Drosophila melanogaster: one gene and its partner. The gene in region 2 interacts genetically with the main gene of each other region. Each region holds a gene or a part of one and is shown on either strand. Other genes may lie near its edges. The genes, in order: r and Vsp37A.

Evidence for each region.
Region 1: of Vsp37A (region 2) and r, changing one suppresses a phenotype caused by changing the other (phenotypic suppression), as found in Drosophila melanogaster (one study listed by BioGRID).

Annotation. Positions count from the first base shown.
Region 1 is NC_004354.4:16,653,506-16,663,172, reverse strand, and holds the start of r (rudimentary), read right to left. Parts: upstream 7,815-9,667; 5' UTR 7,564-7,814; intron 7,083-7,563; exon of another isoform or gene 7,014-7,082; intron 6,789-7,013; 5' UTR 6,776-6,788; coding exon 6,017-6,775; intron 5,953-6,016; coding exon 2,701-5,952; intron 2,636-2,700; coding exon 2,531-2,635; intron 2,276-2,530; exon of another isoform or gene 2,102-2,275; coding exon of another isoform or gene 1-2,101. Other genes in the region: CG15865 (uncharacterized protein), read left to right, coding at 1-2,101; Nemp (nuclear envelope integral membrane protein), read left to right, coding at 8,306-9,037, 9,105-9,667. UniProt on the Drosophila melanogaster protein: Multifunctional protein that encodes the first 3 enzymatic activities of the de novo pyrimidine pathway: carbamoylphosphate synthetase (CPSase; EC 6.3.5.5), aspartate transcarbamylase (ATCase; EC 2.1.3.2) and dihydroorotase (DHOase; EC 3.5.2.3).
Region 2 is NC_004354.4:616,728-625,472, forward strand, and holds Vsp37A (vacuolar protein sorting 37A), read left to right. Parts: upstream 1-4,802; 5' UTR 4,803-5,070; intron 5,071-5,078; exon of another isoform or gene 5,079-5,125; 5' UTR 5,126-5,163; coding exon 5,164-5,419; intron 5,420-5,479; coding exon 5,480-5,631; intron 5,632-5,706; coding exon 5,707-5,901; 3' UTR 5,902-6,324; downstream 6,325-8,745. Other genes in the region: CG13365 (uncharacterized protein), read right to left, coding at 4,074-4,418; CG13369 (uncharacterized protein), read left to right, coding at 6,955-7,007, 7,069-7,617, 7,680-7,992; CG13364 (uncharacterized protein), read right to left, coding at 8,169-8,363.

The DNA of each region.
Region 1 (9,667 bases), about 16 Mb from region 2:
CGCCTCCAGCAGTGACGAGGACGAGAAGGATGAGGCGAATTCCGATAATCGCAAATATCCACCGGCTGGCTATGAAACGGTGGAGGTGCTTCGCCAGTGTCATGTGGAGCAACTGCAGCAGTGCTACCTCAGTTCGCAGCAGTTCATGTTGTACTTTGGAGAGGTGCTGCGTCATCATTTGGCTAACCAATTGGGCATCAGCCAATCGCAGCTGGCCGCGTGTTCGTATCGCGGCTGTAGTGTATATACCGCTCGCGAGGAGCTGGTGCCCGCCATTCATGTGCCCAATTCCTGGCCGGATTGCGCCTTCGAGTTTTGGCTGAGGGCTCGTCCTCGTTTGACCAACCTCCATACTGCCGAACAATTCCAATGGCCAACGGAGCAGATGAAAAAACGTATTCGATCCATGGGCTTCCATGTTGTACCAGTGGGCTATGCACCAAAGCGTTCGCGAAATCCCTTCAGGGAACTGGAATGGCGCATTGTCTTTCCCCAGGCGGAACAGTTTCTCGAGCGGCACTGCCTGACGCCCATGCAATTGAAGGTGTTCCAACTAATGAAGCTGCTGGTCAAAACCTTTGTGGACGAATCAACCACATCCTGTGACCAATCCCCGGGAGCTTTGCTCGAACAGCTGAGAGCCCATATGTTTTGGCAATGTGAGCAGCACAGCAATGATTGGCCAGAGGAGTTTCTGGGCGAGCGATTGGTTCGATTCATTCGCTCCTTCGACGCCTGTTTGGCCAAGAAACACCTGAGCGACTACTTCATTGAGCGGCGCAATCTATTCGAGCATATCCCAGAGGATACGCTGATGAAGCTGCGCAGCATAATGGCCGGAATTGCGGAACAACCGCTGCTGCATGTCATCCAGGCACTGAGGAATCTTCAGCACGCGCCGGAATTCTACCCGCAACTGGAGTACAAGCGACTGTTGGAGAATCTCTTTAGCCAGGATTACCTGGAGCTGCACGGACGGGGCAAGTTCTCGCGTCCACGTCAGGGATTTCCCGCTCTGCAGAACTGTGAAGAAAACAATGGCGGGCAGCAGGTGGAAACGAAAAAAAAAACCGAAAGGACGGAGATCACCGATGCCAAGGGACTCTTGGGATTGGCTCAGCACCAGGAGCGCTCGAGAGGAAAGCTGCGCAGGAAGACACAGCTCTTAAGGGCCACGACTCAGCAATTTCAAATCTCGGCGACGGAACAAAGACGTTGCTCGCTCGACTCCCTGGATCGCCAATTGCTATTGGCACGCTCCAATCCGGAAAGTTCCAAGAGCCAGGAAGCAGCGAAACCGCAACTGAACAACGGCTTGGAGATCCTGCGAAGGAGCAATCTGATCGAACTTCTGCTGGATCATTCGCTGGCCATGTTGGCTCGTGCCATTCGGTTTGGCAACCGTGGACATGCACAGCTTTATCTGGAGCATGGGCAAAGATTGTGCCGCCTTTATCAGCACCTCGGTTGCTCGCAGCAGGCACAGCACTTCGTCCAGGAACTACAGAACGCAGCCAGCGATATGGAACGCATGTGTGAATCGCATATACCAACGTCATCGGGCGGCAGTCCCTCCACGGTGGTTGAATCTCCGCCAGCGCCAAGGAAATCCATCAAGTTCCAGGAGCATGTCGTGCAGATACACACTCCAGAACCGCTGGCCATGCAGAAGCATATGCCCCATCTGGAAAACCATCAGCTCAATGGGATTCTAAGAGCTCACCACCAAGAGGATGCGAACGCCATTGAACCCCTACAGGAGGAGGAGATCAAGAGCGCGTTGCTTCGGGAAATAGAAAGTCGCATAGAAGAAAAACCCAATGTCCAAAGAGATAGAGAACCAATAGATTCTCCTGAAGTGGATAGCCTTAAGCCGCAAACGGGAATCAAATCAAAATCGGAGGAAACAGCCAAGGAGGAATCATTTCTCTCGCTAAACGGAATCCTTCAAAGGCTCTCCCTCGACACGGATAAGGTGCAAATGCTGGGCAGCAAAACGGAGCAACTGGTCCAAAGAGTAGCCCCATCCGAGGCCAAGCGGGATGAACTCAAGGAGATCCTCAAGCGCAACGCACAGAAGCTCAAGGGCGCATTCAACTAGAGACACTAAAGATAATACTACCATATAGTAGCCAAATTGCTAAATCCCGGCGATTAGTGATATATTGATATATTGATAACAGATAAACCAGTTGTGATAAGGGCGGTTAGAGATAGAGATAGAAATATATATATAGTTATGGGCCATAATTATTGTCCATACCATGTGCGCCATATATATTTTCGTAATTAGTAATCTTGAAATCAACGTAATTTCTCTATGATAATAATGTTATTGAATTTGTAAACCAATGTCATGGAAAATAAATAATGCAATATAAACAACCGTTCAATTTGTAAACCAAGTCAGGGAAAACAAATAGTAGGAAATGAGTATTGAAACTACTCAACTTTGTTGACTCGCATCTCCAATGGATTTTGATTAAAGTTGCATGATATACAATAAGCACACAGACATAAATATACTCACATTAACTCCGTGTTCGGCATAAAAGTCGCCAGTGCCCATGGAAGCGTATAGCTTGTAACCCATCTTGGCCAGATCCCGTATGGAAGGCAGCAGCTCCATCTTGTGCTGCAGATGAATGGAGTTATTAATGGAGTAACTAATATCAATAATCAATGGAGTGGCCAACAAACCTTGAAACTGCCAATGGAGAGAAGTACGGCGTTCTTGGGTATCTGGAAGCCCGTGGACATCATGGCCTTGAGATACGCCTCATAGCGGTTGTCCCCGAAGCAGGCAACCTCACCGGTGGAGGCCATCTCGACGCCCAGCTGTACATCCGCGCCCGCGAGCCGCGAGAAACTGAACTGTGGCACCTTGACGCCCACCTTGCCGACGCCATGGAGCACATCCAGTGGCTCCACATCGAGTCCCACAATCGCACGCGTCGCCGTGGCCACAAAGTCGTGGTCCAGCGTCTTGGAGACGAAGGGGAAGGATCGCGACACACGGACATTGCATTCGATGACCTTCAGCTCGTTGTTCTTGGCAATTAGCTGCATGTTGAAGGGACCGGTGACATCCAGTACGCTGGCCAAATCGCATGTGATCCGTTTAATGGCCTCCAGGGTCTCCGCATTCAGATCCTGCGGTGGGGTAACCAGCGTGGCATCACCTGAATGCACTCCGGCATTCTCCACGTGCTCCGAAACAGCCATGCACAGGATGCGTCCATCGGATGCCACTGCATCCACATCGATCTCCTTGGCCTCGGTGAGGAACTTCGAAATGACAACCGGATGCTCGCGACTCACCTCGGAGGCGGCGTTCAGATATGTCTCCAGATCCTGATTGGAATAGGCCACATTCATGGCCGCACCGGAGAGCACATAGGATGGCCTAACCAGACAGGGATAGCCAACCTCCTCGCAAAATTCGATGGCCGACTGTAGGTTGGTCAGCTCCTTCCAGCGTGGCTGCAAGATACCCTTCCTGTCCAGCATGCGCGAGAATTTAAATCGATTTTCGGCACAGTCGATGGACTCCGGCGATGTGCCCAACACCTTCGCCTGCTGGCGATGCAGATCCATGGCTATATTGTTGGGCAGCTGGCCGCCCATGGACAGAATGATGCCCTCGCTATTCTCCATCTCGTAGATGTCCATGACCACCTCGAAGCTAATCTCCTCGAAATACAAGCGATCGCACATATCGTAGTCGGTGGAAACCGTTTCAGGATTGTAGTTAATCATGATGGTGGGTCGCTGTAGCTTCCTCAATTCGCGCAGGCAGCCCACGGCACACCAATCAAACTCCACTGAGGATCCGATACGATAGACGCCCGAGCCCACCACAATAGTGTGTCCGCCGGGGAAGTCCACATCGTGCTCGCTTCCGTTATATGTGTGGTACAGATAGTTGGTACTGGCGGGCCATTCGCCGGCCACCGTGTCGATCTGCTTGACATGCGGGCGGATGCCAAACTCCTGCCGCTGGTGACGAACAGCCAGCTCCGTGCTCTTAATGTACTTAGCTATCTGCTTGTCCGAAAAACCAAAACGCTTGGCCTTCAACAGCAGAGCGGCATCGGTTCGACTGCCATTACGGGTGAGCAGGGACTGCAGTAAGATGATCCTTTCCAGCTTTTCCAGAAACCAATAATCGATATTGGTTAGTTGATGCAGCTCCCTAAGGCTCATGCCCAATTGCAAAGCAGCGGCAATGACGAAGGGACGACGATCCGTCGGCTCCGAAAGCTGCTCGGCCAGCTGCTCCTTGTTAAGCGGAACCACATCCGGATCAAAGCCAAGCACATCGCTGTCCACCATGCGCAGGGCTTTTTGGAACGCTTCCTCGAAGTTGCGACCGATGGCCATCACCTCACCGACACTTTTCATCGAGCTGCCAATGTGCTTGCTAACCCGCACGAATTTGGCCAAATCCCAGCGTGGAATCTTGACCACACAGTAATCGAGGGATGGCTCAAAGCAGGCCGTCGTATTGCCCGTCACCGAGTTCTTGATATCTGGCAGGGGCAATCCCAAAGCCAACTTGGCGGCCACATAGGCCAGTGGATAGCCGGTGGCCTTGCTGGCCAACGCGGAGCTGCGCGACAGTCGGGCGTTCACCTCGATAATGTAGTACTGCTCCGAATGGGGACACAAGGCGTACTGAATGTTGCACTCGCCAACGACACCAAAGTGACGGATAACCTTCAGGGCGGTGCTGCGGAGCATTTGGTACTCGCGATCCGAGAGGGTCTGCGATGGGGCCACCACAATACTCTCGCCCGTGTGGATGCCCAGGGGATCGAAGTTCTCCATGTTGCATACGGTAATGCAGTTGTTGTAGGCATCGCGCACCACCTCGTACTCCACCTCCTTCCAACCCTTCAGGGATTTGTCCACAATTAGTTGGCTCGAGTGGGCCAGTGCCTGTTGGGCCAGGCTCTGCAGCTCCTCCTCGTTGTTGGCGAACCCGGAACCCAGTCCGCCCAGGGAGAAGGCAGCACGGGCCATCACCGGATAACCCAAGCGACTGGCCGCATCCAGTGCCTGGGCAACGGAGTACACAGCCTCAGATGGCGCCACCTGCTCGCCAATCTCGTTGACCCGCTCGGCAAAGAGCTTGCGATCCTCCGTCTCGATGATCGACTGGATGGGTGTGCCCAAAATGCGGACATTGTATTTGGAGAAAACTCCGGCTCGCTCCAGTTGCACGCCACAATTGAGAGCGGTCTGGCCGCCAAAGGTGAGCAGTACTCCGTTCGGACGCTCCGACTTAATCACCTGCTCAACATAGTGAGGTGTTAGGGGAAGGAAGTAGCACTTGTCGGCCATTCCCTTAGAGGTCTGAACGGTGGCTATGTTCGGATTGATGAGCACTGTTTGAATGTTTGATTCCCTCATGGCCTTGATGGCCTGCGATCCGGAGTAGTCAAACTCGCCAGCCTGACCAATGGACAGTCCACCGGATCCCAGGATTAGGACTTTGCGCGGCATCACTGGAGCCGAATCTATGGCAGGCGTAGTCGGACGCAGTCGCTGCTCGATCAGCTGCGGAATGGTCAAATCCTTCTGTTGAATGCTCTCCATAAAGACATCGAACAGGAACTCCGTGTCCTGCGGTCCAGCATGATGCTCCGGATGGAACTGAACCGAAAAGTAGGGCTTGCTGGCATGGACAATGCCCTCGTTGGTGCCGTCGTTGGCATTCACAAATAGCTCCGACCAGCCGTCGGGCAACTGCTCCAAATCGACCGCGTATCCGTGATTCTGCGACGTCATCAGGCAACGTCCAGTTGCTCGGTGCAGGCAGGGCAGATTGTGTCCTCGATTGCCGTACTTCATTTTGTAAGTAGAGCAGCCGATTGCCTTCGCTAACAGCTGGTGACCCAGACATATTCCAAAGACGGGCTTTTGACCCTCCTCAATCACTTTTCTCACCTAGAAACAAAAGATTAGTTAAATTAGCATTATATTCTATCCAAATGATTCAATTGTGACCCACCTGTTGGACGATCTGGTCGCAGCTCTCCGGATTACCAGGTCCGTTAGACAGAAAGAGGGCGTCGAACTGCTCATCCTCGAGACGAGCGCTCCAGGGGAGCAAGGTCACCGAGGCGCCACGTTGCAGCAGGCAGCGCAACTGGTTGAGCTTCAGTCCACAGTCCAGAATGGCGATCCGTGGTCCCTTGCCATTGGGATTACCGTACACTTGTCGCTCCTTAACGCTGCACTCCTTGGCCAAATTCCTGACGTTCGGATCTACGAAACTGGACTTGGGCAGCCCTTCGACCGGCGGTTTCTCGTAGACAATCTTGCCTAGCATGCTTCCCTGCTCCCTCAGTTTTTTGGTCAGGGCTCGAGTATCAATGTCTTGAATTCCGGGCACCTTGTGCTGCTTCAGCCAATCGGGCAGCGTCTTCCATTTGCGCCAGTGAAATGCCTCTTCAGCCACCTCGCCCACCACCAAGGCGGTGGCCTGGACGACGCCTTTCATCCACTCGAAGTGCAGCGGCAGTCCGTGCTCGTCCTCATCCGGCGCTGGTACCCCATAGTTACCGATCAGTGGATAGGTAAGCACCAGGATCTGACCACTGTACGATCGATCCGTGAGCGCCTCCGTGTAGCCAACCATGCCCGTTTGGAAGACCACCTCGCCACCAAAACCCACTTTGGATTCATTCTCCGAGGGAACGTAGCCAAAGGAGTACCCGGGCAACACTGTGCCATCCTCCAGTGCGAGGTAACAGTCCGTAGAGGCCATATTGGACGAGTTGCTGGGGAGGATTGGAAACCATAGGGTATTCTTTAGTACCTGTCACTCGAAAACCGTCTTAAATAAACGAGCAAAGTTAATTAATTAAAAGATCATATCTCTACGAAGGCAAGTAGACACAATATTGAGTCGAAAATCTGATAACAATATTCGGCGACTCTGGGAACTTTACTTAATGAGTATATGCTATGACTATGCTATATGTTTACGCAGAGCGCGTGCATACCCTCGATTTTAAATGTAATGTAATATAATTCCACAGGTTATCTTGTTCAAAAAACACATGTGTTTATAAACACACCGTCACACGCACACAGTTTGCCGGCCCAAGAAAATATACAAAGAATCCAATAGGAAGCCGCGATAGATGAATGTATGCATGTATTTAACTGTCTGGCAACATGTTGAGCGGGGCACAACACGGTTCTGATTGGGAATGGACACTGCTTATCAAGCGTTTCAAGTTCCTGTTGTCATTTGATATTGCCATTCACGGTTTGTTTACACGATGACTAGCGGCGGAGAAGAAAGAGGAAGAGCGAGTGTGAGAGGGTGCGTTTTGTGTGTGCGTAAGCACGTGTGAGAAGTTTGGATCCAATTGGAAACCGGTTCGGTCAGCAAATGAGAATAACAATAACATTGACTTTAACTTTGAATTGGACTTTGGGCAGGAATTGAGGATTAACCAACTGAGAATCCTTAAGCTACGATGCATTAGTATCGCCATCAAGTTATCCTTTTCCCATCTGCACCCGTTACAACTACAGCTCACTTACGATTCCGTGTACTTTCAAGCGAAGCTCTCTCTTTGCTGCACTTGTAGTTGTGAACACGTTTTGGTTTCGACTTTAATTCGATTGACAACTTGATTTGTTTACTTTGCGACACCGCTTTTAGAGCTGGTTAACTTCGCACTGCTCGGATATGTTTAGTTTGAGCATTTAACTGTGTTTGCTTGCAAATTGGCTCCAATTAACGTCTGGAAAATCAAAGTCGAACAACTGAATTCACCGCCTTGGTTGAATCGGAATCTTCGTGCATTATGTGCTAAAAAATGCCACAGCAAGAGCTTAGCTCGGCGGTGTGGAACTTTACTAGAAGTAATATTGCAGGTTGGGAACTTGGCAAGAACGTTATATATTCATTTATTGTTATGAATAAGATAAGATATTTGTAATAATATTAGCAAACATGTTTAAATGGGGTGTTCTGCAAAGTATTCCAAAGGAAATAAATAATCCACAATTAAATGGTTAGTCACAAATTTGAAATCACAACAGTGTAGTCACACACACACCTATCGATACATTTTTCTTACGTTACGATATACTGCCCGTCCCGTCGTGAGTGAGGACATAAACCAAAGCGGCGTTGCTTTTTCATTCGATTCCTTAAAGTAAAGTAAACATCAAAACATCAAGCATAAGCAAGTCAGCATTTAACAAGCGAACGTCCTGCGAGAGCAACAGACTGAAAGCGCACTGATTGATAAGATTAACGCCATTGCAACCGTTCATAATGCATTCGGCTGGACTACTGATGCTAACCGTGGCTGGATATTTCACATCGGGTATTCCTGGCAATACGGCTTCCTCGGACGTCGCCTACCTGACGCCGGGCACATACATCAATTTGTCGGAGAACATCTTGGGACTGCAGACTCTGCGCACGTTCTGCTATCCGGGTAAACGGCTGACGGTGTCAAGTCTCTTCGAGACTGTGGAGTTCGTCCTGGCCATCGGGAGCGATGATTATTCCCAGTACGGTGGGAAGACGCCGGAGGAGGTGTTGCAGCACTACAAGGACAAGCAATCGCTGTTCAGCATCACCCTGTTCGCGCAGAAGCGCCAGCTGCTGCAGCTCTCGCCCTTCGAGCAGCAGTGCATCGGGATTTCCTCCCGCCAGGCGTACACCGTCATTCTGAATAGCATTCCGCTGGATCTGTGGCGTCTCGCACAGTTCGCCGTCGGCATACTGATCCTCTTCAGCGCCCGGCGGCTAGCAAAGAACAGTGTGTTCTACTATCTGGTCGGCATTGTCATCGGCATATGCGCCTCCCTGCTGGTGGTCATCTATTTGGCCGCCAAACTCTTTCCGCGACGTACCATGATGTATGGCGTCCTAATTGGCGGCTGGACCATTGGCTTCTATGTGATCAAACAGCTGGCGGACAATCTGCGTTTGATTCTGATCACCTACCGCGACCATGTGCTGGGCTATCTGGTGATCACCGGACTGATCTCGTTCCTGGTGCGTAGTCACTTGATATTCCCTTTTGATTAGATAACCCCAGCTAATTGCCTCGATTATTCTACAGATCTGCTATCGCATTGGTCCGCCCAAGAATCCTCGATCGCAAACCATCGTCATGTGGGTGCTGCAGGCCATTGGCGCCGTTATGGCTTACTTCAGCAGCTGGCACACCAGCGCCGTGATCTTCATCATGGTGCTGGTCTTTGTGGCCCACTACTTCCCCATTTCGTGGACGAACCAGATCAAGTTCATGTATCGCCGCCGTTTTCCGCTAAAGAGGCGCATGCTCACCCAGGAGGAGTACGAACAGCAGACGGCCGTGGAGACCTCGAAATCGCTGGCGGACCTGCGCAAGTACGTCAACAGTCCGGAGTGCAAGCAGTGGGCGGTGATGGGCAAACTGCGTGATCCTTTGCGCTTCGCCTCGTTCGCCAATGGAGCACCGCATCTGGACGACGAAGAGATCGAGGACCACTCGCGCACCATCGAGGAGTCCATGGATGCGGCGCCCGAGGAGGAATCAGTGGAGGAACCTGAGGAGGATAAACCAGCGGAGTTACTGCCGCTGCCCAACTCGCAGTTCCGCTATCAACAGGCCGCCCGCAACTCGGAGCCGGAGCCGGAGTC
Region 2 (8,745 bases):
ACGCAAACAGTGGAGTGACATCATGCTGAGCACGAGCGAAACACGAAATTAAATTCATGTATTCAGAGAAACACTTTTTCCCTAATTGCTGATGGACACGGGAGTTTTTCCTTATCACCTGGCGGTGGGGGTTTATCTTTATCATGTTTGCACAGCGATAAGTTGGATAATTGGGTAGAATACAAGCACGGCATCCGACTTGGCATTGGAATTCTTATTTCCAGCTGCAGTTTGAATGCGCGCCCAAATTTGGGAACTATGCAATACTTAAAATGCAACTGCGGAGCTGGGAGAGCGGGCAAAACAGGATGTTGGGTGGGAGAGCGAATGAGAGGGGAGATCTGCTTGCCCTTCAACGAGAGACAGCAACAACAATGGAGTTGCCAGAAAGGGAATATTAACGGAATGAAAATCAGAAAGAGAGAGCGAGAGAAAGGTGGATAATGAATCAACGCATCAACAATCAAAAATAGGCAATGCTGTTTAACTATGTACACCAGATAGCTAGATGTAAAAGGAATTTCCTTCCCTTTTCACACTCTCTTACTCTCGTAAAAAAAACTGCAACACGCCAACAAAACGAAAGGCCAACTTCACACGCACACCAATACGTTGCTCAAACAATACCCGCACACTTTTACACGTACACGTACATACTGAGCGAATAACTTTGTTGCTCATTGCTAATTTGTCATAAACATTAAATGCAGCACATACTACGGTGGGAAACAGTAAACAAAAATAAAGGTAAAGTTCTCAAAACGAGGTGAGCCACGCACGACACCAAATAAGCGAACAACTGGCGACAAAGCGACGCGCGTTTCGGTTTTTCTGCTGATTCCCGACAACAACAAGTGTCTAATCGACGGGGCCTATCGATATACCCGATAATACTCAACGCCGGGGCGCTCCAGGCACGGCGCATGCGTGACACGATGTCCAACACTGGTTGAGCGCGAAGAACTGGTATTTTCAAATAGTTGGACTTATTATTGGTAATTCTATGATAGTAATAAACACAGCACTTCTGTCCAAGGCCACAATTGCTAGGGGAACAAGAACTTTTATGTAATTGTATGTAAATACTAAAAGTATCCTAATAATGACTGATTTAGTTCATCGAAGTCTGGGTAAGCCAAATTTTCTCCAGTTCACTGAAATAAACCCAGAGGGCTTTGGTCAAAGACATAAATATTTCCATACCCTACTATCTTCTCTTGCCATCTTTCTGTTTCCCTTAAAACTACACTTATTGCCATTATCAGGACTGTATGATGATGTCGACGAATTTAACATGACACTACAAAATTCCATCAGTATCGCCCAGTTGAATTTGTCCTCTTCTGAGCTTTTCCTATGCTGCCTCTTCTCCAGCGTGGGCCTTATCAAAGCCAGCAGGGCAGCAACACTGCTAAAGAAACCGCAAGAAGCAGCAAAGCGTGTCTGCCGTTCGTAGGAGAAGAGGTTCGGTTCACTCGCGACTTTCAGCATTTCTGCTAGTTCCACGTTTCTTCGCTCTTTCCCCACCGCATTTCTCTTTTATGATTCGTACTGCTTGCAAGCTACGTACGTTAGAGGTCTATGACCAAAGGCCAGGCCGAAACAGAGCTTACCGCCCGTCCCCCAAAATATTAAGGAAAATGATAACGAATAAGAGAGGCACAAATTTTTTTCAGTTGGGTTACGTGAGAGGGGTTCAAAGCCCCCGGCCATTCACTGGCGTCTAAAAGGCAAAAGATCTGTGAGATTTAGTTTTGTTCGGTGGGTTCCAAACATTTTTTAGGTAAATTTGGTGTAGTTCTAACGCACAGCAGTTAGAAAATAGAAAAGATTTTTGTGATACCCGCGATTATAAACGTTCCGCTTTGGCGCACCAAAGAAATGTGCGCTACGCTCCAAGCAGTTGGCTATATCGGTGCTCTTCCCACACTCAAGAAATTAGGGAGATCAGGTGACAGATGACAGATCTTTTCAGCAGAGATATCAATTTACGAGGTGACCATTCCTCCTAACTGCATCCCCAGAACGCCAGGCAGTTGAATGCCCATGAAAAGGAAAGTTAAAGGATCAACTGGTCATGTGCCGCTTGCGTCCAAGGTGGAAAATCTTAGAGGGCAAGGTATAGCGATTTGAAGCCGTTACAGCGGACTGCGCAGTCGCGGCGCACTGCCCGTTTACCGTTACCACTCGACGCGGCTCCTTTTTGATATTTATGTTTCTCTTCGTGTTTATCGACCTTTGTTCGTTTAGATTGTCTTACGTACATTGTGTGTTGTTGTTCGAGCGGCGGACACAATAAATTATTTTTAGAAAATAGTTTCGTTTTCGCTAATATATACATTTATGCGTGGCTCGGAGTTTTAAAGTTGCTTTGTTGATGGTTTACGTTTTGCTGCGCTGCTTGCGTTTTTGTTGCTAGTGCAGAAGCAGAAAGTGGAAGTTTTAAAATTTCACTTTCCCGAAATTTATATAATGCTCTTTGATGGTTTTCGTATCAAAACCGCCAGAAGCAACAACGATCTGCTTTACATTTCTTTGCGTTTTTGTTTCATTATTTTACTCACCCTGTTTCCCGCGGCGAATGTAGAAAACGAAGAAGTGATATGGCGAGGAGAGGAGGCAGAGGCAATCTAATTCAAACGGTACTCTTCCTAGATTCGCCCCTTTTCTTTTGACTGTATTTTCTGCAGGGCGGAATGCGCCGTTTTTGCTTGCACTACTATTTGTACGCACTTGCACCTTTGACTTTTCGTTGTTTCTGGACACCGAAAAAACAAAAACTAAATGTAAAAACAAAATAGATCGGGCCTTTGGCTACCGCTACACACACACACGGAACACACTCGAAAAAACAGCTGGCGCGTTAATTACATTAAAAATTCGCAAGGAAGCCTTCGAACAATGGCAGAAATGCAACTAATTAGCAATTATTTGCAGATTTTTTTTTGTTTTCTTTACGCCTCTTCTTTGCACAAATTCCAATTAGACGATGCGGCGGCAGCCATCTGCAAATGCAATTTGTTGTTGAGTCCCGTTATTTCGCAGACAGAGCAAGTGCAGTTATAGGCGAAACTGGGGGAGCGGACGAGCGAAAGAAATAGCCAATGACCTCCCCTTGATGACGGGCTATTAATATTCATTTACATGTCTCTTCTTGTTTTGTTATGTGCGCAATGGAACAGATGACTCCGCATAGGAGGATGCTGCTTGCTGCTCTTCGATTTGTTGCTTTATTAATAGAAGTCACCGAATGCCAATCTCCGATTGGAATCACAGCCGCTCGCGGGGACACCGATTACCGGAGTTGTTACTTGGTTAGTTAGCCAGCGCCAATAGCCGTGATTAATCCCGTTGCAGCCTGCCAATATGTTACGCTTTTGCTTTTGTTATTGTGTTCGCTTGTTATCGCTTAACGATACGATTTGTCCGCGGTCAACGTCGCGTCGCTGCTTATTGTTGTTGCGTTTTGTTATTGTTGTTATTGCTGGCGATGGGAGATCTTCGATTAGTTTAACTTTTGCAGTAGTGTGGCTGTCGCTTGAGTGTCTGCAAATACCACAGCGACGCACACCAAAGACTAAATGTTTGAAAACATTTTAATTTCTTACGAAATTTAAAAGTAGAACTCTACAAGAAATTTAAAAGCGTTCTTCTATTTTATCAATCGGTATGTGCTGGTGGGAACTACAGCTACTCCTTGAACCCCTCCACCTCGCTGGCTTCGAAGGGCACCTCCTCTACCTTGTGGAATCCGGAGAACTTGATGATTTTGCCGTTGCCTTCCACCTTCAGGTGCTTGGCGAACTATTGGGCCGGTGAAAGGGCCAGCTCCTCCTCCGTCTTGTAGCCGTAGTACTTGGCCCAGTCGTTGTAGAACTTTACAAGAAATTTAATAGTGTCTTTCTATCCCATTAACCGGTATCCGATGCGGAAGGACGCGAATCCATTTTGAATCCGCATCGGTTTCCCATTGACGCCACAACATAGTTAAGTCCTATTTGTAAGCTTTAATGGCAATAAACATACGATGGCTAAAAAAAAATAATGGTTCACTGAGCTGGTGGGAACTACAGTTACTCCTTGACCCGCTCCACCTCGCTGGCGTCGAAGGGCACCTCCTCCACCTTGTGGAATCCAGAGAACCTGATGATCTTGCCGGTCCCCTCGACCTTCAGGTGCTTGGCGAACTGTTGGGCCGGCGAAAGGGCCATCTCCTCCTCCGTCTTGTAGCCGTAGTACTTGGCCCAGTCGTTGCGTCCGGTGTAGACCATATAGCAAACGAGGCCGAATGCCTGCCAGGCCAGAACGGCGTACCCGATGCTCAGGCGCCGCTTCCACAGCTCCGCCCGGTGCTCCGGTATGGGATTCGTGTTGCGCCGCACCCAGCGGCGCAGCCACTTCATCTCGAACAGTGCCATTGTGTGCTTATGTGCTGCTATAACTAAGTTCGTTATGTAAAGATGCAAAATGTAAACAAGCGACTGCAGCTGGCAGCCAAAGTTGCCACACTGTTCAAATCCACCAAATGGTTCGAACCAAGGATGCAAGAAACTAATTATTTGAAAACAAAATAAAGTTAAGCTTATTTTACAAGCCAAAGCGAAGTCACTTCTAATATGTGTTTTGCAGATGCGATAATGCCCTGTGCCTCATTTCCACGTTTTTAATTCAGGAAAAGTGCACGTTAAAGCTAAATGAAAACCAAGACGTATGAGAATCATTATTGTAGCGAAATCTTTGGACGAAAGCGCGAGCGACTTGAATTCCCGCTGACCGCCTCAGACGGTAGCCGAATTTGGCGGCAAGCTAGCCAAGGTGGCAGCACTGAAATGGTCACAGAACGAAAATGCAACTTCGATCGGGGCATATAAAACCAGTGCTTCCAATCCGAAGGCAAAGCATAAAAGATCAGAACATCAGTAGCCGAAGATTGGCTGAGTAGCACGGACAGCGGGCAAGTCCTTTGAAACGTTGGTAGTTTGCAACCGGGTTTGCCAACTTCCTTTGGAGTTCAGTGGTGCTCAACTATCGACACAACTATCCTCGGCTTTCGCAAAACTCAGTAAACCGGTAAACTTCCGTTCATACAGTTCACAATTCTAAATTTAAAATAGATCTAACGCAGACACATTGACATTCGAAAATTGGGATTGAAAACTCAAGATGCCGACTACACCACAGGATCTTGCCCTTGCCCACTCTCTTGCTCAAAGACCTCCGACCGATAGCAGTGAGGCCAAGGAGCAGGAGGCCGGCGAATCGGACAACCTGCCCAACCTGTGCACTTTGTCGCTGGACGAACTGAAACAGCTGGACAGGGATCCCGAGTTCTTCGAGGACTTCATCGAGGAGATGTCCGTGGTGCAGTACCTGAACGAGGAGCTCGATTCAATGATGGACCAGGTGGAGATTATATCAAGTGAGTAGGTCACGGCCCGAGGCTGGCAAATCTACCTAACCCTTCTGTATTCCAATCCAGGAGAGAACGAGTGCAAGGGCATTCATCTGGTAGAGCTGAAGCGCCGACTCAGCGACGATTTTACAGCTTTAAAAAACCTAGGCGAGAAATGCGACCGGCTGAACAAGAAGTACTTCAAGAAGTCGGATGAATACGCGCCTCAGCATATCAGGGTGAGTTCCCTTAAAAAGCCAATGGCGTGGGAGTTACCATTCCCATCCGTAACTTGCATTCCATTTCCCCTGAAGGAGCTTCTTCAGATTGCAGCTTCCAATGCCGATGGCGACTGCGATCGTCACGTGGAGCACTTCCTGAACGGAAAGACCGACGTGCAGACTTTCCTCAACACGTACCAGTGGTCGAAGAAGATCAGTACCGAGCGCAAGGCCAAAGAGGAGCGCCTGGGCACCCAGCTCAGTGCTCTGGAGCGGGCCGGTATCTAGGATTGCCGTGACACTCCCTGGCCGTGCCATCCAGAGCACGGTCCTCCCACTCCTCGCACTCCTCCCACACCGCCACGATCCGCGTCGCAATAGTAGAGAATATCAATGTTAGTAAATAGAGAAGTTAAGCCAGAGATGGGGCGACATAATCATGGCACACACGGCCACGCATTCCCAGAACAGAAAGCAAAACCTTGTTGAAGTAATAAGAAGGTGCACTAGTTGTTCGTTTCCCAAGATCGTTTACTTGGGAAGAGGGTCTTGTTATTCTATCCGTACCCCGAAACGAAGCACTATGTGCAACAGAACGCAGTCCGGAATCGCATGTATTACCTATTTACTTTTTTTCCTTTTGGTTAATCGTGAGCCCCATCCATATATTCTCTCCATATATACATATATATTAAAAAAAAACTATGCTTTAAATGATGCCGTCTCTTTCTATTTAAGGGAAAGGTTTTTCAAAACAATGGTTTTTGGAATGATTTTTGTTTTGATTTGAATAAAATCGAACCGCAAAGGATAACACAACCTTATTAGTTTGAAATAATTTTATTATATTGAAGAATAATAATGCTTAATAACAGATATATAAAATTTCTTTTTTCAACAGTGGCTTGTGCTAGTATCTTAATTTAGTTTGCATAAGCTAAAAGCAATTAAACAAACATAACTACGTTTTCTCCATTATTATTCATATGTACATATATTACTAAGCATTCCAATTGTTAAAATCGAAAACAATCGAAAGTTTCGTTCTACATCATTCGTTCGAAATATGAATGATCCGGTTATCATGGTATTTTTTTGGTATTTTAGCTATATAGTTCGCCGATTTATCGGCCGTACCTCTTCCCCGATCTCGGCCAGAAGCGGACTGGGCCAGTTGGCTGATAGTGCTCGTTCGGCTGCCCCGCTGTCGCCCTTCCCCTCCTCCACCGAGGTCAAGTAATCTCGAGTGATAAGCGGCAGTGAACTCTCGTCTCTGCTTCTCCATTCCACAAGAAACTATAAATAACAGACTACCCACAAGAGACTAGTGCAATTGCAGCAATGGCCCAAACGGAAGTGCTGGTGTTCGGCTCGGCCATCATTGACTTTATAAGGTAGGTGGGCAGAGAAGGCTCGATCCCAAGGAGAATCTTACAAATACAACACCTTTTCCAGCTACACGACCCGTCTACCGAAAGCCGGAGAAACGCTCCATGGGCATCGCTTTCAGATTGGCTACGGCGGCAAGGGCGCCAATCAGTGTGTGGCTGCCGCGCGCCAGGGATCCCGAACAGCTCTGGTGGCCAAACTGGGGGCAGACACATTCGGCAGCGACTACCTGAGACATCTGCGCGAGGAGCGCGTCAATGTAAACCACGTCGAGCAGCTGGCGGAGGAAACGACGGGCGTGGCCCAGATAGCCGTGTCAGATGGCGGCGAGAACAACATCATCATTGTGGTGGGCGCCAACAATCGACTGAGCTCGTGTGACGTTTCCTCGGCGAAGGCGCTCTTCCAGGAAGCCAAAGTTCTGGTGTGCCAGCTGGAGACGCCCGTTGAGGCCACCCTGACCGCTCTGAGAGCCTTCCGGGGCGTGTCCATCGTCAATGCGGCTCCGGCCATGGCCGACACACCCCCCGAACTTCTTCAGTTGGCCAGCATCTTCTGTGTGAACGAAAGCGAGGCGGCACTGATGACTCAGATGCCCGACATTGGCAACATAGAGTAAGTGCGAGTAAGCGTAAACCAGTCGTACTGCCAACTAAATCGGGTCCCACTTCTGCCAGGCACGCCGAAGATGCGGTTGGAAAGCTGATAGCGGCAGGTGCCAACACGGTGATCATAACTCTGGGCAAACTAGGAGCCGTTTTCGGTTCCGCCGACTCCAAGGGCGTGTGCCAGCATGTGGCTGCGCCGAGTGTGCCGCCCGAAAAAGTGGTGGACACGACGGGGGCTGGAGACGCCTTCATTGGGGCCTTGGCCCACAACTTGGCCCGTCATCCAACGAGGAAACTGGAGGAGCACATAGCCGCCGCCTGTGCCGTGGCCTCGCAATCCGTTCAGCTACCCGGGACGCAGTCGAGCTTCCCACACGCTTAGAGGGAAATCCCCAAAAGAATGCAACGCAACAATAAATCTCTATCCTGACGTACAATGATCTATTTAATGGTAATCGTAAGTATAAAAAGATTATGGTCCACATGGGTGTGCTTCGGCTGGCAATTCAGCGTCCAGAATCCAGTGGGTTGCGGACTACAGATGGAGGCGTGGCAGCTTCACTTCTTTCCCGACTTCTTGATGCCGCCTCCTACGAGAGGACCCTTCTTTGAGGCGTTCGCCTTGGCCGCCTCCAGAGCCTTCTGCTGCTCCTTCTGCTTTTGCTTGAAGGCCATGTCGTCCTCGTCCAGGTCTTTGGAGTCCTTCTTCGGCGCCTTCAGAGGCTTCTTCTTACCGCCCTCGCGTCCAGACATACTTGCTCGCTTATACTGCGTGGGAGGAAAAATCTATGAAAATCGGGTTGGATTCCACAACAAAAAGTCACGCACCTTTTTCACACGTTTTTCCGATTTCCGCTGCACGATAACCACGAGAACAATCGATAGCTTCGCGCTTTCGATTGGCTGTGCGTGTTATCGGAACTGGACATATATTTCAATTAATTGATGAAATTATAAGAACAAATTTATATGAAATTATAATTATGTTGTTTCTAAAAATCGCTTCTCGAAGCGAACTTAAAGTCATCCTTAACAGCAATGTGTACCAGCCAAAATAAAAAAATGTCGATTTTGTCGATGGAATTTTAATGACTTTTCGGAAAAAAAAACATAGATAAGTTGAAAAATATTAAAC